Macaca fascicularis: one gene and its partners. The protein of the gene in region 7 interacts with the protein of the main gene of each other region in a biochemical or structural test. Links are inferred from orthologs where the notes say so. Each region holds a gene or a part of one and is shown on either strand. Other genes may lie near its edges.

Evidence for each region.
Region 1: the proteins of HSP90AA1 (region 7) and PPID form a complex in vitro, tested with the Homo sapiens proteins (2 studies listed by BioGRID). The link is inferred for Macaca fascicularis from reciprocal best matches to the Homo sapiens genes HSP90AA1 and PPID.
Region 2: the proteins of HSP90AA1 (region 7) and PTGES3 form a complex in vitro, tested with the Homo sapiens proteins (10 studies listed by BioGRID). The link is inferred for Macaca fascicularis from reciprocal best matches to the Homo sapiens genes HSP90AA1 and PTGES3.
Region 3: the proteins of HSP90AA1 (region 7) and PPP5C form a complex in vitro, tested with the Homo sapiens proteins (4 studies listed by BioGRID, with this or other methods). The link is inferred for Macaca fascicularis from reciprocal best matches to the Homo sapiens genes HSP90AA1 and PPP5C.
Region 4: the proteins of HSP90AA1 (region 7) and SGTA form a complex in vitro, tested with the Homo sapiens proteins (2 studies listed by BioGRID, with this or other methods). The link is inferred for Macaca fascicularis from reciprocal best matches to the Homo sapiens genes HSP90AA1 and SGTA.
Region 5: the proteins of HSP90AA1 (region 7) and ST13 form a complex in vitro, tested with the Homo sapiens proteins (2 studies listed by BioGRID). The link is inferred for Macaca fascicularis from reciprocal best matches to the Homo sapiens genes HSP90AA1 and ST13.
Region 6: the proteins of HSP90AA1 (region 7) and MAPT form a complex in vitro, tested with the Homo sapiens proteins (3 studies listed by BioGRID, with this or other methods). The link is inferred for Macaca fascicularis from reciprocal best matches to the Homo sapiens genes HSP90AA1 and MAPT.

The regions. Positions count from the first base shown.
Region 1 is NC_088379.1:163,628,949-163,632,448, forward strand, and holds part of PPID (peptidyl-prolyl cis-trans isomerase D), read right to left. Parts: intron 2,701-3,500; coding exon 2,594-2,700; intron 616-2,593; coding exon 427-615; intron 1-426. UniProt on the Homo sapiens protein: PPIase that catalyzes the cis-trans isomerization of proline imidic peptide bonds in oligopeptides and may therefore assist protein folding. Proposed to act as a co-chaperone in HSP90 complexes such as in unligated steroid receptors heterocomplexes.
Region 2 is NC_088385.1:63,477,225-63,480,724, forward strand, and holds part of PTGES3 (prostaglandin E synthase 3), read right to left. Parts: intron 2,865-3,500; coding exon 2,766-2,864; intron 1,356-2,765; coding exon 1,266-1,355; intron 1-1,265. UniProt on the Homo sapiens protein: Cytosolic prostaglandin synthase that catalyzes the oxidoreduction of prostaglandin endoperoxide H2 (PGH2) to prostaglandin E2 (PGE2).
Region 3 is NC_088393.1:54,411,392-54,414,891, forward strand, and holds part of PPP5C (serine/threonine-protein phosphatase 5), read left to right. Parts: intron 1-2,721; coding exon 2,722-2,787; intron 2,788-3,105; coding exon 3,106-3,204; intron 3,205-3,500. UniProt on the Homo sapiens protein: Serine/threonine-protein phosphatase that dephosphorylates a myriad of proteins involved in different signaling pathways including the kinases CSNK1E, ASK1/MAP3K5, PRKDC and RAF1, the nuclear receptors NR3C1, PPARG, ESR1 and ESR2, SMAD proteins and TAU/MAPT.
Region 4 is NC_088393.1:3,463,801-3,468,055, forward strand, and holds the start of SGTA (small glutamine-rich tetratricopeptide repeat-containing protein alpha), read right to left. Parts: upstream 2,801-4,255; 5' UTR 2,760-2,800; intron 1-2,759. UniProt on the Homo sapiens protein: Co-chaperone that binds misfolded and hydrophobic patches-containing client proteins in the cytosol. Mediates their targeting to the endoplasmic reticulum but also regulates their sorting to the proteasome when targeting fails.
Region 5 is NC_088384.1:10,804,210-10,807,709, forward strand, and holds part of ST13 (hsc70-interacting protein), read left to right. Parts: intron 1-1,732; coding exon 1,733-1,835; intron 1,836-3,437; coding exon 3,438-3,500. UniProt on the Homo sapiens protein: One HIP oligomer binds the ATPase domains of at least two HSC70 molecules dependent on activation of the HSC70 ATPase by HSP40. Stabilizes the ADP state of HSC70 that has a high affinity for substrate protein.
Region 6 is NC_088390.1:67,473,557-67,477,807, reverse strand, and holds the start of MAPT (microtubule-associated protein tau), read right to left. Parts: upstream 2,801-4,251; 5' UTR 2,668-2,800; exon of another isoform or gene 2,227-2,667; intron 1,981-2,226; exon of another isoform or gene 1,725-1,980; intron 1,215-1,724; exon of another isoform or gene 1,090-1,214; intron 1-1,089. UniProt on the Homo sapiens protein: Promotes microtubule assembly and stability, and might be involved in the establishment and maintenance of neuronal polarity.
Region 7 is NC_088381.1:170,183,732-170,187,493, forward strand, and holds the end of HSP90AA1 (heat shock protein HSP 90-alpha), read right to left. Parts: intron 3,713-3,762; coding exon 3,522-3,712; intron 3,420-3,521; coding exon 3,272-3,419; intron 3,034-3,271; coding exon 2,765-3,033; intron 2,196-2,764; coding exon 1,862-2,195; intron 1,276-1,861; coding exon 1,166-1,275; 3' UTR 501-1,165; downstream 1-500. UniProt on the Homo sapiens protein: Molecular chaperone that promotes the maturation, structural maintenance and proper regulation of specific target proteins involved for instance in cell cycle control and signal transduction.

The DNA of each region.
Region 1 (3,500 bases), on a different chromosome or scaffold from region 7:
TATACCCAAAATTATTGTAACATTTTTCCAGCTAATAATCACTGATCCTTTTACTTACATTTCTTTAATATTGCAACTAATAAGCTGGGCACGGTGGCTCATGCCTGTAATCCCGGCACTTTGGGAGGCCGAGGTGGGCGGATCACAAGGTCAGGAGTTCGAGACCAGCCTGGCCAACATGGTGAAACCCCGTCTCTATTAAAAATACAAAAAAAATTAGCCAGGTGTGGTAGCGTGCACCTGTAATCCCTGCTACTCTGGAGGCTGAGGCAGGAGAATAGCTTAAGCCCAGGAGGCAGAGGCTGCAGTGAGCCAAGATTGCACCACTGCACTCCAGCCTGTAACAGAGCGAGACTCCACCTCAAAAAAAAAAAAAAAGATAGCAACTAAGATAATAAGTGCGTTTCACTGTAACTTTTTACTTACTTTAGCAGGTTTTTCACCTTTCACTTCCACATTTTCCAATATCCTTGTCACTCCTATTCCTTTAATTACTTGGCCAAACACCACATGTTTCCCATCCAAATGAGGAGTTGGAACTGTTGTGATAAAAAACTGAGAACCATTTGTGTTGCGGCCTGCGTTTGCCATGCTCAGTAAACCCTCCCGATCATGCTGTAGAAATAAAAATCATTAAAAGAAAACCAAGGTTAGATGTGTTCTTTCTGAATCGTGTGTTAGTCTGAACTGTTCTTTTACTGAACATAAAACTGAGGTGCACTATACTACCATTTAGATCAAACTGTACTCTCTTTTACTTTTCACTTATGACATTTTTAATTACTTTTTTTTATAAACTGCAACCTTTAATTCACAAAACATGGGACACACTTAATCACTTTTTAAACTTTAAAAAACCTTATCAAAGTAAATAGGTGACAGAAACAATAGTCCGAGGGAAGCTTATTTCTAAACCGGCCATGAGAAGATACTTATACTTCACCTTTAAAATGAAGATGCAGCATTATGAAACTCTTGTCATATATTTTGCCCTTTTTATGATGAATGCTCTTTTTTTCTGGGAAGATCTGAATAGTCTTCCAAATTCATAAATATGCCTACAGTATGTTTTCCTTTACGTATCAATAAACTGGGAACAGTAATGGGATATTGAATTTACCCAAGACATTCAGTTTGATACTTTCCTAATCTCAAAAGAATCCAAATCATACAGGATTTGGATTAGGTTTTCATCCCAGATGAATCAACTCTTCAGAGAGTGCTCAAAAGAAACTGCTGCATGCATCTTGAAATCAAAATTCTACCTTGGCATAATACTGTCAAAGCATCTATGAAACCCAATTTCTGAACCTTTTCACTTTATCTCCTAGGCTTTCTAAATGTATTCCTTGTTGGTGCACGCACCGTAACTCTCATGTTATATAATGTCTCACGACACCCCCCCACCCCACCAAAATGCCTTTTACTCCCCTCAATCTAAATCAAATTCAGATTTTAAGGCCACCAAGTTTATAGAAAGCAAGAACCATGTATCTTGTCTATAGGCCCCTTTTCTCTATATCAACCTGATCATCACATAACCTTTAGTTTTCATCCTTCTGGTAGCTTCCTTTGGTACAACAGTAACTAGAACTTTATTTCCTTGACGTGTCTTTCCTCACCCACGTCCCTTTTTAAATTCTGCATCAATACTACGGTTCCTGCCTAACCAAATTTCAGCCACGTTGCCACCTTGCAAGACCCAGTCTGCACAGCCTACGTAGCCAGTCATTCCTCCTCAATGACTTCCATAATAATTCAGACTGCATTAATCACATCTTTCTCCTACAGTATACAGACAGTATGTATTAGCAATGTCATACAAGCAAGGTTATTCAATCAATTTAGCATTTATTTATATACTATTATCCTCCAGTAATTCCATGTATCTTAATCTTGTCTCTGAGGTAGGATTATAAATTCCTTGACATCAAGGCCTTTCATTTTTATAAACCTTTGGTGCCAGTGATAGTGCTGCACATAGAATTGTAGTCTCAATAGACACTGGCAGGAAGACTGATGACATTTTTTCAAATTATCCTAATAACCTTGCTCATATTTCTTATTTCTAAAAATATCACTTTACTTTTGTATTTACATGTCCATTCTTATAACTTGAATGATGCAATATACCCCCATTACATCTTGGGACAATGAAGATAAGAAGGCACAGGCACCACTAAAGTCCTTTAGGAGGTTGGACATTTAACTACATCTACTATTGTGCAAATCCCCTGACATCCTGGATATTAGTGATGGTTTTGTTGCTCTTCAAATTCAAGGATAAAGATGCACAAGTTACCATCCTTCCAACAACGAAAACATTTTTCCTGGAAACAATTTTGCCAGATGCTGGTCGCATGTAAAAACTCATTGGCTTAACTGAAGCATATAAAAACTGGATCACAATGAAATAATGCTAAATAAATCTTTACTGCATGAAAACTTTTCCATATTAAAGAACCGTTATTTACAAAAGTGATTCCTTTTACAAGAAATGGGAGAATCTAAGCACACTTGAGACATTTTTTGGTGTCTTAATCCAACAAGTATTCCAGATATATAATGATCTTTTTATCAGCAATAACATTACCTTATAGTGGAAATTTTCATCTTCAAATTTTTCACCATAAATACTTTCTCCACCTGTCCCATTCTGATTTGAGAAGTCTCCACCCTGAATCATAAATTTCTTAATAACTACAAAAAAGGAAATGGCTATTAGTGACTGAGACATGGATGCCTTTAGCAATGCTTACTAATGGATATGTGTGTAACACAACTTTCTAGTGCATTACTCTAGTCATGTCACTCTCTTGTCTGCCCTTCCCCACCCGTCCCCGCAATTTCAAATGGGTCACGCTTTTCACCGTCTGAATCCAACCTACTTTCCCTGCCTGATCCCCGCTAACATTCAGAAAATCGGTTCAAATGATACCTCCCCTATAAAACTGTCACTGAAATCCCAAAGCTCTATGTCCTAATTTTTCTCCCACAGTATCTTGACTCTGCCTACATAACATACGGCATTATGATCTGCCCCTTCCAGCAAACAATGATGTCCTTAAGTACACCAACTGTATTGTTTTACATCCTCGTAACTATGTGCATGTACACATATTAGTTACTCAACAATGTCTGCTGAATAAAGACCAATTATTCCCAGTAGATTTGTACTGCCCTAATGGAAAATTTTCAGCAAATATATCACTTTGTGTCAAAGGTTACCAAGACTGCTTTCATGTTCAGAGAACCCTAGAGCCCACACAAATCAGTATTTGGTGGGATCACAGTGGTAACGATACACAGTGAGATGATGAGGGCGAAGACACAGGCTGAATCTGGAAAAATCCATATGCAAGCTTCCTTATGCTTTCTCCCTCCCATGAAGTGCCACAGAACACACACTTCCCCCAGCAACAAAAATGCAGCAACATGTACACAGTATCTCTGCCCAGGAAAGCCAATTAGACACTCAGCACCCAAGGTATTTATTGGGC
Region 2 (3,500 bases), on a different chromosome or scaffold from region 7:
ATCCGCCTGCCTCACCCTCCCAAAATGCTGGGATTACAGGTGTGAGTCACATGCCCAGCCCTATTTATTTATTTTTTTTGAGATGGAATCTTGCTCTGTCGCCCAGGCTGGAGTGCAGTGGAGCGATCACGGCTTACTGCAACCTCCACCTCCTGGGTTCACACGATTCTCCTGCCTCAGCCTTCTGAGTAGGTGGCATTACAGGCGCACGCCACCACACCCAGCTAATTTTTGTATTTTTAGTAGAGGGGAGGTTTTGCCATGTTGGTCAGGCTGGTCTGGAACTCCTGACCTCGTGATTCACCCGCCTCGGCTTCCCAAAGTGCTGGGATTACAGGCATAAGCCACCGCACCCAGCCTATGATTCTTGTGTTTAAAAGTTTATAGTCATATTTTTTAGACCAAGTCCCGCTCTTTCGCCAGACTGGAGTCCAGTGGCACGATCTCAGCTCACTGCAACCTCTGCCTCCAGGGTTCAAGCAATTCCCATGCCTCAGCCTCAGGAGTAGGTGGGACCACAAGGACACGCCACCACGCCCAGCTTATTTTTTTTGTATTTTAGTAGAGACGGGGTTTCACCATGTTGGCCAGTATGGTCTGGATCTCCTGACCTCGTGATCCGCCAGCCTTGGCCTCCCAAAGTGCTGGCCTCCTCCCAAAGCGCCTGGTCAAAAGTTTTTTTTTTTTTTTGAGACGGAGTCTCGCTTTGTCGCCCAGGCTGGAGTGCAGTGGCCGGATCTCAGCTCACTGCAAGCTCCGCCTCCCGAGTTTACGCCATTCTCCTGCTTCAGCCTCCAGAGTAGCTGGGACTACAGGCGCCCACCACCTCGCCCGGCTAGTTTTTTGTATTTTTAGTAGAGACGGGGTTTCACCATATTAGCCAGGATGGTCTCGATCTCCTGACCTCGTGATCCACCCGTCTCGGCCTCCCAAAGTGCTGGGATTACAGGCTTGAGCCACCGCGCCCGGCAAAAGTTTATAGTTTTATTTTATGGCTTCAAAATCCAAGTCAACTACTGCAATCATGCTTTAAAAAAAAAAAAAAAAAAAAAAAAAATCCCAATGATGAAATTAGGAAATTAGCAAACTAGCTGTGTTAGTCTTAATACATTAACTTTTGCAGGTAACACTGATTCCTTTTAAAATCATTAAAATGGTCTTAAAAATAACACGCATCATGAATATGTGCCCAAAACCAAATTAAATTGACTACAGACAGGTACTGTGTACTTCGAGTGGGGAGACGTCCATTTAATGGAACTTACCTCAGAAAAACGATCAAAATTAGACATGTCTTCATCTGAATCATCTTCCCAGTCTTTCCAATTATTGAAGTCGACACTAAGCCAATTAAGCTATAAATCAATACAAACATCACCCTAAGGTTAGGTTAATTTGCATTTGGCATGAACCTTAAGACTGCATTTTCTTTTCTTCTAAAGAGACCAAGTCTTGCTGTGTTGTCCAGGCTGGAGTGCAGCAAGCATTCACAGGTGCAATCCCATTATTGATCAATGTGAGTTTTGATCAGCTCCATTTCTGATCAAGGGTCTTGTTAACTCTTCAAGCAACCTGGTGGTCCCCGCTTCCTGGGACACCACCATACTGATGTTAACTTAGCATGGTTACCTGACTGACATATGGCATTGCAACCCAGAATTGGGCGCAAGTAATTCTCCCACTTCACCCTCCAGCATCGCTTTTAACTACAACAGGCACCACATGGCTACTGGTCCCTGGCAAAACAACATTTTTTGAACTGCGACTTTGTATTTTTATGAGGGCATGTAATTAGCACACAAAGAATAGACTAAGCTAAATGGGGTGGCTTACACCTGTAACCCCAACACTTTGGGCGGCCACGGTGGAAAGATTGGTTGTGTAATCCTTCAGGAGTTCAAGACAGCCTGAGCAATAGTGTATCCTGTATCTGGGGAAAAAACAAAAAAACAAAGTTCCTGGGCGTGGTGGCACATTCCTATAATCCTAGCTATTTGGGAAGCTGAGGTGGGTGGGAGGATCGCTTAAGCCCAGGTGGAGGCTGCAGTGAGCCATGTTCACACCACTGCACTCTCGCATGAGTGGCATGAGACTATCTAAAAAAAAAAAAAAAAAAAAATTAGGCCAGTGTGGTGGCTCATGCCTATAGTACCAGCACTTTGGGAAGCTGAGGTGGGGAGATCGCTTGAGCCTAGAAGTTCAAGAGCAATCTGAGCAAGATTGTGATACCCCTTCTCTACAAAAAATACAAAAATGAGCCAGGTGTCGTGGCATGCCCCTGCAGTCCCAGCTACTTGGGGGACAGAGCGGGGAGGATCACTTGGAGCCTGGGAAGCTGAGGCTGCAGTGAGCCGAGATGGTGTCACTGCACTCCAGCCTGGGTAACAAAGAGAGACCCTGGTTTTGAAAAATAAAACACTGAAAATTGTTAAACACACCTTTTGAAAACAAATTTACTAGTAAGAACTATTTTCAGTTGATTAATTTACTTTTTCACCAAGCTTTGTCCCCTCCCATTTGATAGCTGAGTAATTTATGCAAAGTCTATCTCTTAAGTGCAAAAGATTCTACACCAGTTAATAACTGATATTCTAATCACACTTCGTATTAAGTTAAAACTGAGTAGACAAAAAACATGAACATGAGGCTTTATACTTAGCTGTGAAACAAAAACACAGCAGTATATTCCTTACATCAAATAAGTGTATCTTTTATTACCTACAATAAAAACATCAAACTTTTCAAAAAAGGGAAACGAAACCTACCTTTGCCCTTTCTTTTGTTAACCTTGGCCATGACTGGCCAGATTCTCCTTTTCGTAAACAGCATAAAATTGATCTGTCCGTTCTTTTATGCTTGGAATCCTAAAAACAAAAGGACCATCATACCATTTATCTTTCCAGTATCACTACATGACAGAAAGTAGCTTGTCATTTCTCACCTTTTTCATTTCTTTACCTAAATTTTCTCTGGACTCTGAAAGAAACATGCCCTTGACTACTAAAAACTTCAAATTATCTAATTGCCCCAAACCACTATAACTGTCATTTTTTAAAAATTTTATTTTTTCCCTTGTATTTCCTACTGAAATAACCTGTACTACAACAAAGTTTCACGTTTAACCTGATACCATTTTTTTCTTTCCTGCACATGGTAAACAGAATAAAACCTTAAAAACTTTAACTAAAAATGATATAGCCACAGAATGGTTTAAATATTCTGTTCTTGGGCCAGCATGGTGGCTCAAGCCTGTAATCCCAGCACTTTGGGAGGCCGAGACGGGCGGATCACGAGGTCAGCAGATCGAGACCATCCTGGCTAACACGGTGAAACCCCGTCTCTACTGAAAAATACAAAAAACTAGCCAGGCAAGGTAGCAGGCGCCTGTAGTCCCAGCTACTTGGGAGGCTGCGGCAGGACAATGGCGTGAACCCGGGAGGCAGAGCTTGCAGTGAGCTGAGATCCGGCCACTGCACTCCAGCCTGGGCGACAGAGCGAGA
Region 3 (3,500 bases), on a different chromosome or scaffold from region 7:
AAATCTGTTTTTTTTTTTTTTCCATTGCCTTTTGACCTCCATTGTTTCTGTGAGAACTCAACAATCATTCATATATTTGTTCCTTATAGTCTGTTTTTTTCTTCACTGGTTTTAAGATTTTATCTTTGGTATTTAGTAGTTTGGCTTTGATGTGGTTTTTTTTTTTTTTTTTTGCATCTATCCTGTATTCACTGAGCCTTTTTGATCTGTGGGTTAATATCTTTCATTAGTTTTGGAAAGTTTTTAGCCATTATCTCTTCTTCTGTTTCTTCCCATTTCTGCTCTCCTCCGTCTGGAAAGCTAATAACATGCTTTTTAGACCATTTGATACTATTCCTTAGATTTTAATGAGTTGAATTTTTAAATTCTTTGCACGATTTTTCCTCTGTGTATTTCAGTTTGGGTAATTTCAGTTGTCCTTATGTTCACTGATTCTTTGTAACTGCTGTTAAGCCCAACAAATGAATTATTTATTTCTTATGTTGTATTTTTTATTGGTGGCATTTTCATTTAGTTTTTTTTTTTTTTAATAGACTTTTCTTCTCTGTGTCTCATGTGTTCATGCATATTGTCTACCTTTTCCACTAAGTCCTTTCACACATTTACCATGGTTATCTTAATTAAAGTCTCTGGTAGTTTCATCATCTGGTTCATCTCTGAGTCTGCTCTGTTACCAGTTCATCATGTGTCTTATAATTTTATTGTATGCCAGGCATTTTGTATAAAAGAACATTAGAGACTGAGGTAAATAAAGATTTTCCTCAGAAAATGGCACACCTAGGCTGGGCACCGTGGCTCAGGCCTGTAATCCTAGCACTTTGGGAGGCCAAGGCATGCAGATCGCTTGAGCCCAGGAGTTCAAGACCAGCCTGGGCAACTTGGAGAAACCCCATCTCTACAAAAAAAAAAAAAAATACAAAAACTAGCCAGGCATGGTGGTTGGCACCTCTAGTCCTGGCTACTTGGGAGGCTGAGGGGGGAGGATCATCTGAGCTTGGGAGGTTGAGGCTGCAGTGAACTGTGATCGAGCTACTGCACTCCAGCCTGGGTGACAGAGTGAGACCCTGTCTTAAAACAAATAAACAAGAAAACGGCACACATTTCTTCTGTTGAGCCACAAGAGGGAGGGGCTGTGTGAACCTCATCTGTAGTTTAGGGGCAACTTTTGTTGGAATTTCTTTACCACTGGCTTTAAATGTGTTCAGAGTAGAATTAGGAGTTTCCCTTCAGCAGACCTTGGGATCTTAGCCCTGGCAGAATTCCAGGGATGTCTTTATGTTTTAAAGTCGCCAGCTTTTGGAACTGTGGGAGACCTCTGGTATTCAGCCCTGCCGTCGGGCTGTGGGGCCGCTGGGGTGTTCGCTGCTCTCCACTCTCACCCCGCTCTGTACCTCAGGGGGTTTCTCTCCACCTCACTACCTCGCACCCAGCCTTCCCTGAAGCCCGTGTGAGGGAGTTGGCGGGGGCAGAGGCGGGCTGTGCTGGGGCTCCCTGGAGTCCTCATCTGTCACGCCAGTCCCCACATGGTCATGAACTTCCACTCGTTTCCCCTCACGCCCAGCCCCAGGGCATCCCGCCCGCCTGCCAAGCACCAGGATAAAAGCTGTGGGCTCCTTCCCCAAGGAAAGGCTCGTCCTGTCTGCATTTTGATTAATTTAGGTCCCTTTGCATTGCCAGCCCTCAGATGGCTTTAAATTTGATTTTGTTGCTTGCTTGGCTTGTTTTCATCTTTAGGGCGAGACAGTCTTTTGTAGCTTTTCTGCCTTCTGACTGGAAGTGGGTGCCTCCTGCATTTTCTTAACACCTTTTCCCCAGCTTATTTTGGAAACTGTCAAACCTACAGAGAGCTGAAAGAACAGTACAGTTAACATCTATCCACCCTTCACCCACATTCACCACTTGTGAACATTTTAATGCATTGACTTAATGTGTCTGTCTGCTTATATATGCATTTGTATGTGTATCCTTTTTTTTTTCCCCTAACCGATTTGAGAGTAAGTTGCAGTCATAATAACCTGGATCTCCCAAAAACAAAGGCGTCCTCTTGTATGACCACAGTTGAATTGTCCTACCTTAGAAATTCATCATTGATGCGATAATACTAAGGTAGACGGTCCACGGGCCATCCGGAAAATCTGGAAACATTGACAGATATGCATGTCATTGTCAAGGTCATCTCCAGTCTGTGAAAAATAAATCATCTGCATTTCTAGACATCCGTTAATATTTTAATTCTCCCCAGCTTTCCCTAAAACATCCTTTGTAGCTGCTTTTTAAAAATTCAGGGTCCATTGAAAGCACCAGTGTTGCCTATGACCTGCCTTTTTACCTCTTTTTACTGGAAAGTCTCACTTCTTTTTTGGGAGACTTTTATGACAGTGACATTGAGCTGTGTCCAGGCCAGTTCTTTTATAAAATGTTCTACGATCTGGATTCATGTATGTATTTCCACATGATGCTGAGTGTTTTCAGATAATTCAAGAACCAGATTTTCACATGAAACAATCGCAATGCTTCAGCACTGCACAGTCCACAGAAGCCTGCGGCTGCCTCTGGCCCCACCTGCCCCTGCTCCCCCAGGCCTCCCCTGCCCTTTTTCTTCTCTCCCTGCTTCTCCCTTGCCCTCAGCCCAGCAGCGTCTCCTGGGCAGTCCAGGCTCTCGGGGCTGGGTTGGGTAGCAGCCCCTGCAGCCGGTCCCACTGAGTCTGCCCTGCCTTCCAGATTCTGGTACAGGTCAAAGAGGTCCTCTCCAAGCTGAGCACGCTCGTGGAAACCACACTCAAAGAGGTGCGCGTTGTGGGGCAGTCGGGGGAGGGCCAGCGGGGGTGGGCTCTCTGGCTGGGGAGGGGCCACAGAGCTCAGGAACTTACGGAGCCACCTCCCTGTCTCCCTCACACCCCCACCCCTGTGCCTTTCCTCCTGAATATCCCATTTCTCTGCTGGCCTCTTGGTCTCTGTCCCACCCTCTTCGTTTGTGTCCCCTGCTTGTGTCTCTTGCATGATTCTTCTCGGTCTACTGTGAACTCTTACCCTTCCCCTCACCTCTGCCCCCTCCCCACGTCTCTCTCTGGGCCCCTCCCTCTCCGGTGGCCTCTTTTCTTTCAGACAGAGAAGATTACAGTATGCGGGGACACCCATGGCCAGTTCTATGACCTCCTCAACATATTTGAGCTCAACGGTTTACCCTCGGAGACCAACCCCTATGTATCCTTCTCGGCAGAGCCACCCTCTCCCCACCTCCACCCCCAGCCCCAGCCTCAGATCTGCAGAGGGGGAGGAGCCCCTGCCAGGGAAAAGACGTGACCTTGGAAAGGAGAGGCCTGGCCATGCTGGGGCACCAAGATGTGGGTGGAGCTGCAGGCTGGCCACGCACCCCAGGCTCCAGGCTCAGACAGGCCTGGGCCAGCACCCAGCGGCTGTAGGACCTGAGCTGGTAGCTCAGTCTCTCTGGGCCCTGGCTTGTCTTCGTCTGCCTCAGGATCGCATTTGAATGGCACCTG
Region 4 (4,255 bases), on a different chromosome or scaffold from region 7:
AGCTGGGGGTCGTCTGTGGGGCCTACACCAAACCCTGTACGTGCCACTCAAACTCAAGTGCTCACCTCTCCTGCCCAACTCTAGGAGAGAATCTAGTATTCCTGCAAACTCCATCTCTGGCCCAGCATCTCTTACAAGGCTTTCTACCTCTTGACAGACCCAGCTTCCCTTTGAACGCCAGCATCTGGCAGCGTCTAAACCCTATGGACTCAGGAAAGCCTTCGATGGTTGAAAAATTCACAGACACGTGGTCAAGTTCCTTGAAATGGGGAGGCCATTTCTCTCTGGGTTTCTGTTTCCACCTCAGTAAAAGAGAAAACGGGCCAGGTGCAGTGAGGCACGCCTGTAATCACAGAACTCTGGAGGCCAAGGTGGAGGATCGCTTGAACCCAGGAGTTTGAGACCAGCCTGGGTAACACGGTGAAACCCTATCTCTAAAACAACAAAATACTAAAATTAGCCGGGTGTGGTAGTGCACACCTGTAGTCCCAGCTACTCAGGAGGCTGAGGTGGGAGGGCCTGAGCCCGGGAGGTCGAGGCTGCAGTGAGCGGAGATTGCGCCACTACACTCCAGCCTGGGCGACAGAGCAAGACCTTATCTCAAACCACCCCTTTTATGCCTTCGGCCTGTACCGAGCACTTCCTACCAGGGCCACTGTTGGGTCTTGGCAAAAAAACAACCATAGAATTGAGTAAGACTGCCGCTCTCAAGGATCCGTCCAATCTGGGGCAGAGCTCACCCCCATTTGGAATCATTCACCCTTCTAGGAAGATTTAATTATAAACCTCAGCTCAAATCCTTGGCGCGCTTACAGCTTTCCAGGCACCCAGCTAAGTGCTGTACATGCGATAGCTTATTTTAGGGGTCAGCAGAGGTTTTTCTGAAAAGGGCCAGACTGTCTTCAGCTCGGCAGGCGCTAAGGTCCCTACGGCAACTGTTCAACTGTGTCTTCTTAGCTCGAAACCAACCACAGGTAACATGCAAACCAAGGAGTGTGGCTGTGTTCCCACAAACCTTCATTCCCAAAAACAGGCCAGAGGTGGATTTGGCCTTCTGGTTAGCTGATACCTTGCCCGGTTGAATCCTCACACACCTGAGGTGGTTACTTTTATAATCCCCATTCCACAGAAGAAAAACTGAGGCTTGGAAAGATGGGAACCACCCAAGACCACCCAGCTAGGAGGATGCAAATGAGGCGTTCTGAACCCAGGCAGCCTCACTTGAGAAGCTAAACTCCAAAGTGCCCACTTCTCGCCACACAAAATTGGGTGCACACACAAAACTTTGTATACCATTTCCCGGGCCCACACACTCCCAGCTGCCCATGCTGGGGAAGAATCACTGATCTAGGGTAGGTTTTTTTTGTTTTTTGGTTTTTTTTGACAGGGTCTCGCTCTGTCACCCAGGCTGGAGTGCAGTGGCGTGATCTTGGGTCTCTGTAACCTCTGCCTCCTGGGTTCAAGGGATTCTTCTGCCTCAGCCTCCTGAGTAGCTGGGATTACAGGCGCACGCCACCATGCCCAGCTAAGTTTTGTATTTTCAAGAGAGACGGGGTTTCACCACATTGGTCAGGCTGGTCTCGAACTCCTGACCTCAGGTGATCCACCCGTATGGTAGGGTGTGGTTTTTAAAGCGTTATTGACATTCAAAGTTGGATCGTTTTCTGGGGTGGGGCCGTCCTGGGCACTGCAGGGTGCTGAGCAGCAACCCTGGCCTCCACCGACTCCAAACCAGGGGGTCCCCTGAATCGTGAAAAGCACAAATGTCACCAAGAATCTCTGGGGCACAGAATTGTTCCTGGTTGAGAACCACACTGGTCAAGGGAGGGAAAAGGCAGAGAGAACGAATAATCAGAGACAGAAGCAAAAGTAAACGGGACAATGATCCAACCTCTGAGAGGCACATTGCACTGCAATTTTCTGCCACCTAATAACAAAAACAGCTGTTCTCAAGCCAGCTCTCTCTTATCAAGTTCCAGGCACCTGATCAAATCATTGAATGTGGGCTTATCCTCATAATGACCCTCCCAGACATCTGCTTTTACAACTCGTTTACGAAAAAGAAGGTTTGCTCAGAGAGGGAAGGCAACTCATCCAGGTTTACACAGCGGGTGGGTGGTGGTGGTGGGCTGGTTCTGAATCCCAGATTTCCCCCACCTCTAGCACGATATGCAGAAGAAGACTCTAAACATGAAATAAGACGAACGGCTGCTAATTCTTTGGAGTTCTCAGATTCCGCTGGACCCTGCGGCGGCTCTCATTCTCCCAGGCAGGGACTTCTGACAACGCCCGTTTTACAGACGGGAAAACTGAGGCTCCGAGAAGCCAAGAGGCTGGGCAAGGTCACCCAGGTAGGGACTGGCGACGCTGGGACCAGAGCCCCGACTTGAGTCCCCACAAACGGGGGTCCCCGAGTCACAGGGACGACTTTTCCAGGCAGTTAGTAAGAGCGGAACGGCAGCGAACACCCAGCGAGCGCTCAGTACATGCGGGGCGCCTTCCCCTCCAGCCGTCCTCGCCACCAGTCCGCGGACCAGCATTTCCAGGACCTGGGGCCCGGGGAAGGGAGATCAGGGCTCGAAGGGCCTGCCGATGCCGCCCGGCCTCAGTTTCCCCTCCGCTCCGCCTACTCACAGGACCCCGCGGGTCGCGCTGACCCTGGCCTCACGATCCCCAACCTCTTACGGGCTCTGGGGCCCCGTGAGCCCCGAGTCGCAGACCCCACACCCGCCAGGCTCAGCACAGTGCCCCTCACTCACCTCTCAGGCGACCGATCCCCGACCCACCGACGGTTGCGCTTGCGCACCGCGGAGCCGCCCGGCCCCGGCCCCCGGGCGCGACGCCTGCGCAGAAGAAGGGCTCCCCGGGTTGCTTCCCTTCTGCACAGGCGCGTTAATGATCGAGGTGGGCGTGGAAGGAAGTGACGCAACGTAGAGGCGGGAACCAGCTGGTCGTTAGGGCAACTGACCTCTACGACCTAATGGAGGCCGGAAGTCGGGGCTGGTTTGCCCTCTAGGGCGGGAACGAAGCGGTGCACGGTGGAACAGTGGCTGACTCCAGCCGGTCGCCGAGCTGACCACGTGGTGCTGGGCCGGCCACGTGGTGCAGCCGCGTTTGGCCACCTGGACTCCAGAGCGTCATAGCCCCGCAATGAATGGGAGTCAGTGTTGTCCGCTCGCTATCTTTGTTCATTTATTCACCCACCCATCTACTCACCCACAAATGCATTCTTTCATGCAGTCAATTTATGAGACGCTTGTGAGAATAGAAACATTAGTAGGCAGCAGGTGCCTAATATTCCATATTTATTGCAAACCAGTCATAAAAACCAGCAAAGTGTCTACTGTCATTATTTTGCATTGGGGTAGACGAACTATAAACTAATAAACTAGTACATAAGTAGATAAACAAGAAATTTCACAGCTAACACTACAAAAAAAATGAAGGTGGTGTGATTGCCACCGGGAGCTAAGTTGTATGGTATGGGTAGGAAAGATCATCCTTTAGATTTGGATTTCAAGGATAGGAAAAAGTCCAAACGGACCCCAGGCACAGGGAACAGCAAAAATGAAGGCCAATGTAAAAGCTTGGTGTGCTCAAGACATATGGAAAAAAAAATAGAGATGAGAGATGAGAAATTTCCAAGGACGACAGAAAACTGATCACCATCTGAGTTATAATTGACAGAAATGTTCTCCCAATTCATTGTTGTCCTACTCGAAATACATGCACGATTAATGGCGTGGATTATTTTAATTTCTTTTGCAGAAATAAAGAAGGTGAGACCGGGCGCGGTGGCTGACACCTGTAATCCCAGCACTTTGGGAGGCCAAGGGGCAGATCACTTGAGGTCAGAAGTTCGAGACCAGCCTGGCCAACATGCTGAAAACCTGTCTCTACTAAAAATACAAAAACTAGCCGGGCGTGGTGCGGGCATCTGTAGTCCCAGCTACTCGGGAGGTTGAGGCAGGAGAATCGCTTGAACCCGAGAGGCAGAGGTTGCAGTGAGCCGAGATCGCGCCATGGTACTCCAGCCTGGGCGACAGAGTGAGACTCCGTCCAGTCCCTCCAAAACAAAACGAAACAAAAACAAAAAACATAAAAGGAAAGGAGGTCGGTTGCTTCGTTTTTGCCAGTTTAATTGTAGTACATTGTTTTTTCTGGGTGCCATAACAGTTCAAGACAGACGGTTCCAGATGTTTTTTGTTTCAACCCACAACACTGGATGTAGGTCAGGTTACTGCACTGTTCCAAA
Region 5 (3,500 bases), on a different chromosome or scaffold from region 7:
TTACTACAGTGCTATGATATACATAAAACTGTTTCAGAATTATAATACCTTAAAAACAGTATATGCCCTAAGTAAAGTTTGAAGGTTTTTTTGGAAGTTTTTGTTTTGCTTTGTCTTTTGTTTTTAGACAGAGTCTCACTCTGTCACCCAGGCTGGAGTGCAGTGGTGCGATCTTGGCTCACTGCAACTTTCGCCTCCCAGGTTCAAGTGATTCTCCTGCCTCAGCCAGCCTCCTGAGTAGCTGGGATTACTTACAGTCATGCCCCACCATGCCCAGCTAATGTTTTGTATTTTTGGTAGAAAGGGGGTTTAGCCCATTGGCCAGGATATTCTCAAACTCCTGGCCTCAAGTGATCTGCCCTCCTTTCCCTCCCAAAACATTAGGATTACAGGCATGACCCAAGGATGTTCTTATTCTTAGAATATATATCCCACTTGAAATATACAGTCAAGATAACGGTATGAAAAGTTACTTGAATTTGTTTTTTCTGTGTAGCTTATGTTGTTAATAAAATACACAGTTTTTTGTTTTTTGTTTTGAGGAGTTTTGCTCTTTCACCCTGGCTGGAGTAAAGTGCAATCTCGGCTCACTGCACCCCCTTCACTCCGCCCCGGGCTCAAGCGGTTCTCCTGCCTCAGCCTCGCTAGTAGCTGGGATTACAGGTGTGCACTACCATGTCTGGCAAATTTTTTATTTTAGAGATGGGGTTTTGCCACGTTGGCCAGGCTGGTCTTGAACTCCTGACCTCAGGTGATTCACCAGCCTCAGCCTCCCAGAGTGCTAGGATAACAGGCATGAGCCATTGCGCCTAGCCATAGCTTATTTCTGTTTTTTTTTTTTTGAGATGGAGTCTTCCTCTGTCACCCAGGATAGAGTGCAGTGGTGTGATCTTGGCTCACTGCAAGCTCCGCCTCCCGGGTTCATGCCATTCTCCTGCCTCAGCCTTCCGAGTAGCGAGGACTACAGGTGTCTGCCACCACGGCTGGCTAATTTTTTGTATTTTTAGTAGAGACAAGGTTTCACCATGTTAGCCAGGATGGTCTTGATCTCCTGACCTCGCGATCTGTCCGCCTCAGCTTCCCAAAGTGCTGGGATTACAGACATGAGCCACCGCACCCAGCCACACAGCTTATTTGTTTGTATTGAGGTTTAGGATTTGCTTTATTTCCATTTTTCTGATTTTATTTTTTGAGTATGTAAAGCATTTAAATGTTTGAAGAGTTACACCTGAGTTAAAAGGTATACCCAGAGAATTGTCAATTTCCGTTGCTGTCTCCTGTACCCCATTCTCACCTACCCCCACCAATCTGTAGTTTCTGGCTTACCTGTTCTGTGTTTTTCATAAAGCCTGTACACGTGTATTATTTTCTCTCCTGTCTTACATAGAAGGTAGCTAAAAGCTAACACATTATGTTAGTCCTGGTTTGGGTGAGTTGAAAGTTACTGCTCTATATACTTTTTAGAAAATTTTATGATACTCTAAATTAAGAAAAATTTTGTTTTTTAGCTTTTAGTAGGAGATCAGCTTTAAATAGAGGAAATTTAAATGTTTTTATAGAGTTAACTAAAGTGGGATATAGTAACTGAATTGGTTGGTGAAAGTTTATAGTTAATATTTAACTTAAGCCTGTTTTAGAACAATCTTTTTTTTTTTTTAAGGAAAAAAAGATACCATGCCACATAGGTGAATATGTATAAAAGGCTCCTAAAATGAGTGTAAATCTGTTTCAGACTTCTAGGCCACTGGGAAGAAGCAGCCCATGATCTTGCCCTTGCCTGTAAATTGGATTATGATGAAGATGCTAGTGCAATGCTGAAAGAAGTTCAACCTAGGGTATGTTAAAGTAGAGAAAGGAAAGTCATTAGTTTAATACTCCATCGCTCGAGTGCTTAGCCCCTGACAGCTGTAATTCATCTGAAAAATAGGCAAAGAAACTATCGGAAGATATAATCTGTAATTGCTGAAGTTTGTGCTCAACTCTGGAGATCTCATTAGGTTTTCATGCTTTCATTTCTCATGCATTATTAGAGCAAACTCTGTTACTTTGGAAGCTTGCAGTGGAATTATAACCAGAAAATTAGAAAAGAGGGTATCAGGTTTACAACAAGGAAACAAATAGAAAATCTATAATTAGCATTACCCAAGATTGAATCTGATGTGTCCTTAGATATCATAGGTGTATACAGCCACTTTATAAAGCAAGAAGCCTTGTGGAAGTTAAGAAGTTTCAGTCTTCCGGCCGGGCGCAGTGCCTCACGCCTGTAATCCCAACACTTTGGGAGGCCAAGGCGGGTGGATCATGAGGTCAGAAGTTCAAGACCAGCCTGGCCAACATAGTGAAACCCTGTGTCTCCTAAACACAAAAAATTAGCCGGGTGTGGTGGCACGCGCCTGTAATCCCAGCTACTTGGGAGGCTGAGGCAGGAGAATCACTTGAACCTGGGAGGTGGAAGGTTGCAGTGAGCTAAGATCAGGCCACTGCACTCCAGCCTGGGTGACAGAGCGAAGCTGTCTTAATAAAACAAAGAATTTTCAATCTTTAAAAAATAATAATATTGAATCCCAAAGGTAGAACATTCCAGCTTTTAAGGATGATTTTTCTCTGAAATTGTTGGTTAAGATAATATTAATGTGTTTACATGGTAAATCTTTCATTCTGTGGGAAGTTCAACTGTCAGGAATTTACTTTGAGATTTTAAGATAGTGGAAATTGTATTGAATTTAATTATTTACTGCCAGAGAGTTCATTTGGTTTTCTGTTTTCTTCTTAAAATAGGGCAAAGTTGTAACTTTGTCAGCAAAGTATAAACAAGCTAAAGTGACAGTTGAATATGAATCTCTTAAATTTACTTTATTCTCTGAGGAAATAACAGATCCAGAGCATTTATTTGATACTACTAACTAGTGTCTGGTACACATATTTACATTTTCCCCTCTTAATCCCTATAGCAATTTGATAAGACTAAATATTTCTTCCTCTCCTATTTTATGGATACAGAAGCTTAAATATACTGTGACATATACTTGGTGTATGTGTTCCCAGTCTTTGCCTTCCCAGGGTTGACATCCGTAATGATACTCTTTCCACTGATCTCAGCTGTCCTTCTGAAACCTAAACACTGTATCTGGTAGAAACTAGCAGGCAAGAATTGTCATGCACTTAGAAACCTATTTGTTAATCTTTGAGCTTAATTGTTTGAGATTGTAACATTTCTAACTTCAAATCCCAGGCCCCTTTACTCTGTTTTACAGTGCCTCGTGCAGTTGAGGTTGGTTTTGTTAAAGCCTGAGCTTGTGTTAGGTCTTTTTCTACAAGACAAATCTGTCATTTTTCTGAACTGCATGTTGAATTAAACATCTCTCCACAAAAAATATTTGTGTTGATGTTATTCAGCTTTTGGAGCAGACTTATTTTGCTATGGCTCTTTTTTCTAGGCACAGAAAATTGCGGAACATCGGAGAAAGTATGAGCGAAAACGTGAAGAGCGAGAGATCAAA
Region 6 (4,251 bases), on a different chromosome or scaffold from region 7:
GCAGTGGCCCAACCAAAGCGCCAACACATTTCAAAATGGAGCGAAATCGCAGAAGCGCGGATTGTGCTTTGTTCCCAGCATTGGGCTAAATGCGCTCATCCCCACCGGGCTCCCTTTCCTCCAACGGCAGCAGGTGACATCTCTGCTCGAGATGGCAATAGGCAGCCTTGACCGTGGGCTCCCCTTTTCCAGGGCCGTCCCGAGACCCTCACTCCATCTGGAACCGGAATCCCGCGCCCAGCTCTGTCTGGGGGCGAGGGAGGAGAGAAGATGCTTGAACTGACCCCTGAGCCGCTCTGCAACCCCTCGCGGTGGCTCAGCCATGCGGGAAGCCTCGCAGCACTCAGGCTCCAGCCCTCGACGCCACCGTCGAGGAAGGTCAGCCTGGTCCCGGGCGGGCTCTAGTTCCCCAGTCAAGCCATTCCCCGGAAATTCAGATCAACCTGGGCAGCCCGCGTGGAGGATTCAGCTCCTAGATGCTCGTTCGTCTCAGAAGTGCGCCCCCCCGCACCAGTTTTCAGCGATAGAATTAACCAGAAAACGGCGCGTACCAGGTTCATCACAGGAGGGCGAGGCTCGGATGCCTTGGCCAGGAGTTCTCCTTGCAGCCCCAGACTCGGTTTTGGGGGTACGGTGAACTTGGATACGGGTGAAATCCCGCATTTACGATAAATAATATTAATCAGTACAGACATAATATTAATAAAAATACACCCAAGGGCTGCCTATCTGCGGCCGCCAGAGGCCAATTAGAGTCTCAGGTGCAGGGGTTGGGGGCTTCCTCCCGTGTCCTCCAGGAGGCCAACTGGGCGCGGCCCCGCCTACCCCAGGGTCCCCAATCTCCCCAGGGAAGGGGTGGGGCCAGCCCCAAGGTCCCCTCTCCGGACGCCTGTGGTTCCCATGGCAATTCCCCCTCTGTGCCCCCTCCAGTGGGCTCAGAAAAATGGGTGTGGCCGCAGCACCAGTAACCTTATGCCCCCTCCTCACATTCTCCCGCCAGGCGAAGCAACAGGGCGTAAAGCTGGAGAGGCCCCACCGGGGCTCCCCACCCATCCCCGAATGGGTAGCCAGCGTCCCTCGTTGGGCAACCTGGTGTGGCTTGGCCCTCAGGACACTCGGGGTGTTGGGAGGGGCGTGATCCCTCTGCCGCCGCCCGCAGCGCAGCACGGAGACTCGAATCCCATCCCTTCAGAAGCTTCCTGGCGCCCGCAGACTCCGAGACGAGGCTGCGCGCGGTCACGCCCGTTCCATGCGTGCCGGGGGTCGGGGGGTTGACTCGGGTTCGTCGACCCCAGCAAGCCTCGAGATCCAACAATGGGCTCGGAAATGAGGAACGAAAAAGGAAAGAGGTGCTTGGGGGTGGGGGGAGGTTGGCTAAACACCCTCAGAATAAAAGCCAGAAACCAGGGCTGGGAGCGCAGATCACGTAACCTCTACAGACAAAGCAAAGAGCCCCCGAAGAAGGTGCTGGGTGAACGCCCCCAGCGCTCACGCCCGCAGCAGCAAAACGCCAAGATTTCAGCGCTGATTGTCCCCCTCCCTTTAATGCCAGGCCCCGCCCTGTCCTACGAAGCCCGGCCACCCGGTTTGGCATGGCACCGTAAAGACGTGACACGCCGAAAAAAGATGGCACCTCGGGAGTGGGAGGAGGCACAGCCTATCCTCCCCCCTCCTCGCCCACCAGGATCCACACCCACTGCCGCAGTGAGGGGCGAGCCCTGCGCGCCAGCCCCGCGCCTCCGGCAGGGAGCGCACACGCCGGGCACCCTGCGCGCGGAGCGCTGAGAAAGAAACCCGCCCCGAGATGCACCTGCAGCCCCGCGCCCGTCAGTGCATGGCTGCTGCTGTGCCTGCCCGCGAGCGGGGACCGGCGGCCGCCGACTCCGTCCACATCGCCAGGCCAGGTGACCCCTGCCTTTGCGAGCGTGCACACTGGGATCCTCGCACTGTTCTCAGGCACGGCGCTGCTCGCGTCTCTGTGCCAGGCGTGCGCAGGGGGAAGGGCAACTAAAGTGACAGCGCCTGGACCCCTCCCCATCTCCTCGATTCCTCCCAGCCCCCAAATGTCCCCTACGGGTTTCTGAAGGAGGAAAAGGGGAGGGGGCCGGCCCCCGCCTAAAATCAGGGGCAGTGAAGGCCCTGTCGGAATCACTGCTCGGGAGGTAAAGGGAGGGGCGTGCAGGGAGTCAGTCATCTTTTCTAGAACCCGATCCACATCTTCCTTAGGGCTGATGGCGAACAGCGGCAGGGACAGCGGATTTCAGGTTCGGTTTCGGGGGTCGTTATCGGACCCCTCCCCCCCACGCACGCCCATTGCGGCAAAAGACTGCGGTCGAGAGTGAAGGGCAGCCCCCTCCCCCAAGTCACCGCCGCCGCGCCCCACCCTGCCGGCACGGCCTCCACCTGGGGTCGGCGCGAAGCGGGTGAAGACCCTCCAGCACACACACACGCGCGCACTCAGGCGTGCGTGCATCCCTTGCTCACGTCCCTTTCCAGGCCGCCCTGGCCCCAGCCCCCGAGCAGGGGAGGCAAGGAGGGGCCCTGCGGTCGCCCCGACCGATGCCCGGCGCACGAAGCCCCAGTCTGTGGAGGCTGAGGGCGAGGGGCGGCGGCGCAGGGGTGCACAGGGGCGGACGGCGAGGCAGATTTCGGAGCCGCGGCGCTTACCTGATAGTCGACAGAGGCGAGGACGGGAGAGGACAGCGGAGGAGGAGAAGGTGGCTGTGGTGGCGGCGGCAGAAGGTGGGCGGTGGCAGCGGCGCTGCTGTTGGTGCCGGAGCTGGTGGGTGGCGGTGACTGCGAGGGCGCGCGCCGGCGAAGAGGGCGCGTTCCCGAGGCCGGCAGGCGGCGCAGGCGCGAGCAGCGGGAGCGCGAGCCTCCCCAGGGGAGGGGGCGGGCAGCCCGGCCTCCGCGGGAGCCTTCTCCTCCGGCCACCAGTGGGCGCGCGCGAGCGCCCTGCCGCTCGGCTGTCCGGCGCCTCCCGGCTGGTTCCTCTCGGCGCTGCCCTTTCCCGGTGCCCCTCCCCCTACGCCTCAGGCCGCGGCGCTGACCGCAGCGCGCACGCGCGTTCCATGGCGCACGCGCACTCTCCGCCTCCCATAGCTGGAGCCTTTGTCTCGTTGGAGGGGTGGGTGTCTTCCTTCGGGCCCTGCGGGGTCGGGGCAAGGCCAGTGACTCCGCCAGTGGGTCCCCTGCCCCTTTCCTTTCAGTCAGCCTGAGGCGGTGTCCTCTCCTGGAGAGGTCCTGAGCGACCTTCCACGTGGCCAGCTCCCCAGTCCGCCCACCCCGACCCTCCGAGTCCCGAAATCGCCCCCCTGGCTAAGGTCGCTTTTCCCCAGGCTGCTTCCTTTCTCCTTGCTTTTTTCCCATCTTTTTTGTTACTGACCAAGGTGAATCCTTTCCTTAACAAATTCACTTAAAGCAAGCTAACTCAGTTACAATACAGTAGAACTGTACTTTAAAAAAAAGTATTTGGATCTATGATGTATGTAACCGTGACGCTAGAAAAGAAATCTTAAATTAGACCAAATTGAAATAGTGCTTAACACATCGCAGAACATTTGCACACACAGTTATTTGTATCACGTCTTTTGAAACATCTTTATGCTGTAAGTAGAGTTTGAAGTCTGAATGTTTAAGGGCCAGCTGGAGATTGTCCCCTGGAAGAGGCATCTCAGCCTGAAACTGACCAGTGGTCCTCATTCTACTGGTCACCCAGGCCCCAAGCTTCGGCCTTAGCTTGGATTTTTCATTTCCCCAACGTCAAATTTAAGCCCTGGCAGTGGGCGGATTTCTATGTATGGGGGTTTAGGGCAGCCGTCTCCTCCTAGGGAGATGGGAAGTTGTCTTGAAGCTCCAATTTGCATGGTTCTTACATTATTTTTTAAAAACCAACATATGTTATAGATTAATAGAAAAAGCAAGTAAAATGCTTTATTCACACTGAGTTTCTGGAACTGACCTTTTTCTTTCTTTCTTTTTTTTTTTATCCATATTAACTTTATTTTTAAACAGAGGGGCATATATCCAAAGAAGTAGGAGTGAGAACCACCGTGGGGGCTTGCTGAAAGCGATCTGCCCTAGCCTTCTGACTTCAGAATGTCTCATGAGCCAATGGCCTGGGGATGGAACTGCCCCTTGATGGTGTACACCTTAGAAAAGTCAATGGAATTGACCTTTTTTTGGAGACAAGGTCTTGCTCAGGCTGGAGTGCAGTGGCACAGTCATAGCTCATGGCAACCTTGAACTCCT
Region 7 (3,762 bases):
AGGCGTGAGCCACTGCTCCTGGCACTTTTTCCTTTGACTTGTGCCAGCCCATCTTTTTCCCACCAGCTTGTTACCTGCTGCTTACAGGTGTCAGCTGGCTCAATAAAAAACCAGAAAATTAGTAACGAGAGATTTCAAACAGGATAGCTTTAAGTAGATTTGGTAAACAACTTTGAGACACTGTAAGGCCAAGAAATTAAGTGACTGTATTTAGAACAGAAGGTATTCCATGAATAACATCAAAACAATGTGGACGCTAAGGGGAGAACACGTGTTAACTCACGGAGACAGGGGATACACGTCTGCATTGCTATTTTCTGTGCCTACTTCATGTGCTCCACCCCACACCTGCGGAGTATATGCTGGGAAGATCACGTCAACCCTTGGAGTGGCCAGTGTTTAACCGTCTACTGCTAGCACCTCATGTTTTACATTTTGGCACCAATGTCATCCAGATATTCCCCTTTCCCCCTAAATAAGACACACTGTCACACAACATCTTTTAACTCATCTGTATTTGTTACAACTTTAAGCAGAATGTGACTCCAGCACTACATTTCCATCCACAAGACTTGAGTTATTTTTGAACAGCTTTATGATATGCTTAGGTAGGCTTATAACTTTGCTCCTCCAAACAATACTTTTCTTTGGAAAACAAGCCCTGTGGAGAGTTCCTTCTATCAAGTTGCTTCAGTTTAACCTATTTCTAGAGGACTAGTACATGCAAAATTGGCAACTACAGGGGATGAAAAGTTCAAAAAGATCCTACAAGATGTAACAAATACTTTTCTAAACATCCAGGTATATATAGCTCGAGAACACTTCAATAACAAGATTTGGTCTACTTAGAAATCCGGCTTGATAGCTAAACACTGTAGACCACAAAGTTAACATCATGTTACATACATCTTACAACACACGTTACCCCAGTCTGTTAAAATAAACCAATGTGAAACTAAAAAAGCATTACTAGCTCTGCTTTAGTGCCTAAGGTACCACAGCATCACTTAGAAATAGACAGAAATCTTATCTTCCCCTTAAAGTAGTTGTTGTCATGCCATACAGACTTTTTAATATTAACAAAAATAAAGAAAAACATCCTGGAAAATATATTATCAGAAGAATTGTAGAGTATTGAACAGGTAAGTCATCCCTCAGCCGGAGGTTAGTCTACTTCTTCCATGCGTGATGTGTCGTCATCTCCTTCGAGGGGCGGCATTTCTTCAGTTACAGCTGCACTGGTATCATCAGCAGTAGGATCATCTTCATCAATACCTGTTTCCAAAATAAAATCCTCGTATTAGAAAGATTTCTTAAAGCCAGCTATTAGTGTAATACTCCTGATTTATACCTGCTTTCAAGACAGTATTTACAGGGCATATAAATCTCAATTTCATTTCTTAGCTCTTATAAGACCTTACTTATCCCTAAAAAAAATATTCTTGAATGCCTCCAAGCAGGACAAGGTGCTCCAAGTTTGGGTAACTGAAAGTTTACCACTTTCTTCACTGTCATGTGTATTTCTTTCCTTTTTTTTTTGAGACGGAGTCTCGCTCTGTCGCCCAGGCTGGAGTGCAGTGGCCGGATCTCAGCTCACTGCAAGCTCCGCCTCTCGGGTTCACCCCATTCTCCTGCCTCAGCCTCCCGAGTAGCTGGGACTACAGGCGTCCGCCACATCGCCCAGCTAGTTTTTTGTATTTTTTAGTAGAGACGGGGTTTCACCGTGTTAGCCAGGATGGTCTCGATCTCCTGACCTCGTGATCCACCCGTCTCGGCATCCCAAAGTGCTGGGATTACAGGCTTGAGCCAACGCACCCGGCCTATTTCTTTCCTTTTTAACATTACATAGTATTAGGCTTACCCAGACCAAGTTTGATCATCCTGTAGATCCTGTTGGCATGTGTCTGGGGATCTTCCAGACTGAAGCCAGAAGACAGGAGTGCAGTTTCGTAAAGCAAGATGACCAGATCCTTCACAGACTTGTCGTTCTTATCAGCCTCTGCCTTTTGCCTTAAGGTCTCAATAATGGAATGGTCAGGGTTTATCTCCAGGTGTTTCTTTGCTGCCATGTAACCCATTGTTGAGTTGTCTCTTAGGGCTTGAGCTTTCATGATTCTCTCCATGTTTGCTGTCCAGCCATATGTGCTTGTGACAATACAGCATGGAGACGTCACCAATCGGTTTGACACAACCACCTGTAATCAAGAAGTGATGACTAGGAGCCTAGAAAGATTAAACCCTAAACCTTCATTGTCAAATGAAATCTGAAGAACCCAAACAATAGATCCGAAATACTATTAAATAGAACTTAAATGTTGCATTAGGTAGTCAAAGAGCACAGATTATAATTAATTTCGTTTTACGTACACCACCTTTTTTTTCCCCCGAGATAGTCTTGCTTGGTCACCCAGGCTGGAGGTGCAGTGGTGCAATCTTGGCTTACTGCAACCTCTGCCTTGCGGGTTCAGGAGATTCTCCTGCCTCAGCCTCCAGACGCCCGCCACCACGCCTGGTTAATTTTTTCGTATTTTTAGTAGAGACGGGGTTTCACCGTGTTAGCCAGGATGGTCTCCATCTCCTGACCTTGTGATCCACTGCCTCAGCCTCCCAAAGTGCTGGGATTACAGGCGTGAGCCACCACGCCCAACCATACACGACATAGTTTTCTATTTTAAGTTGAAAGCAAAGAAAAATGGGTCATGTATGACTAAGCTTGAAAACACCCTAGAGGTATCAATGATCAGGAAATGCTGTATTCACATACCTTTTCAACTTTTTTCTCCAGTATGTCTTTCATGATTTTGCAGAGGTTCTCAAACTTTGTTTTTTTCTCTTCCTGTTTCTTTTTCTCTTCTTCATCCTCTGGAAGTTCCAAGCCCTCTTTGGTGACTGACACTAATGTCTTCCCCTCAAATTCTTTTAGCTGTTGGACACAGTACTCATCAATGGGCTCGATCATATAGATCACTTCTAAGCCATGTTTCCGAAGACGTTCCACAAAGGCTGAGTTAGCTACCTGGTCCTTGGTCTCACCTGAGGTATTACAAAGTTACTTTTAGACCTTTTAACAGTAAGAATGGCTTCATCTACTTCTAACTTTTGCTAGCCAGATACCTAGGCAGAACCTAAGACAAATAATGACCTAGTTCATGTTAATTATCTTGCCTAGATCAACGCCAGTTATAACAGTGCTACCTGAGTAGAAAACACACCCACAGAGCCTACAAGGTTATAAGAACGACGTATAGACTGTAACATAGCGTCCCCCTACCTGTGATATAATAGATATGTTTCTGGTTTTCCTTCATTCTGGTGCAGTAATCCTTGAGAGAAACCATCTCATCGCCAGAGGCAGATGTGTAGTACCTTAACAGCTCTGAAAGCTTCTTCCGATTTTGTGAGTCTTCATGTATTCCAAGCTAAAACAAAGTATGTTCTTTACTAAAGACTCTCTGAATTCAAAAAGAAATCTAAAAAGAGGCCAGCAGGGAAACTACCAATGGTCAAATATTTACACCAACCTTTATGTTTTTAGAGAACTGCTCATAGAACTTCTTGTAGTTCTCTTTATCTTCCGCCAGTTCAGTAAAGAGTTCTAAGCATTTTTTGACCAAATTCTTCCTGATAACTTTCAAAATTTTGCTTTGCTGCAACATCTCACGGGATATATTTAGAGGGAGGTCCTCTGAGTCTACCACCCCTCTAATGAAGTCTGAAAAAAATATAAAAATCAAATGCACTGAGTCATTCCAAGGACAAAAC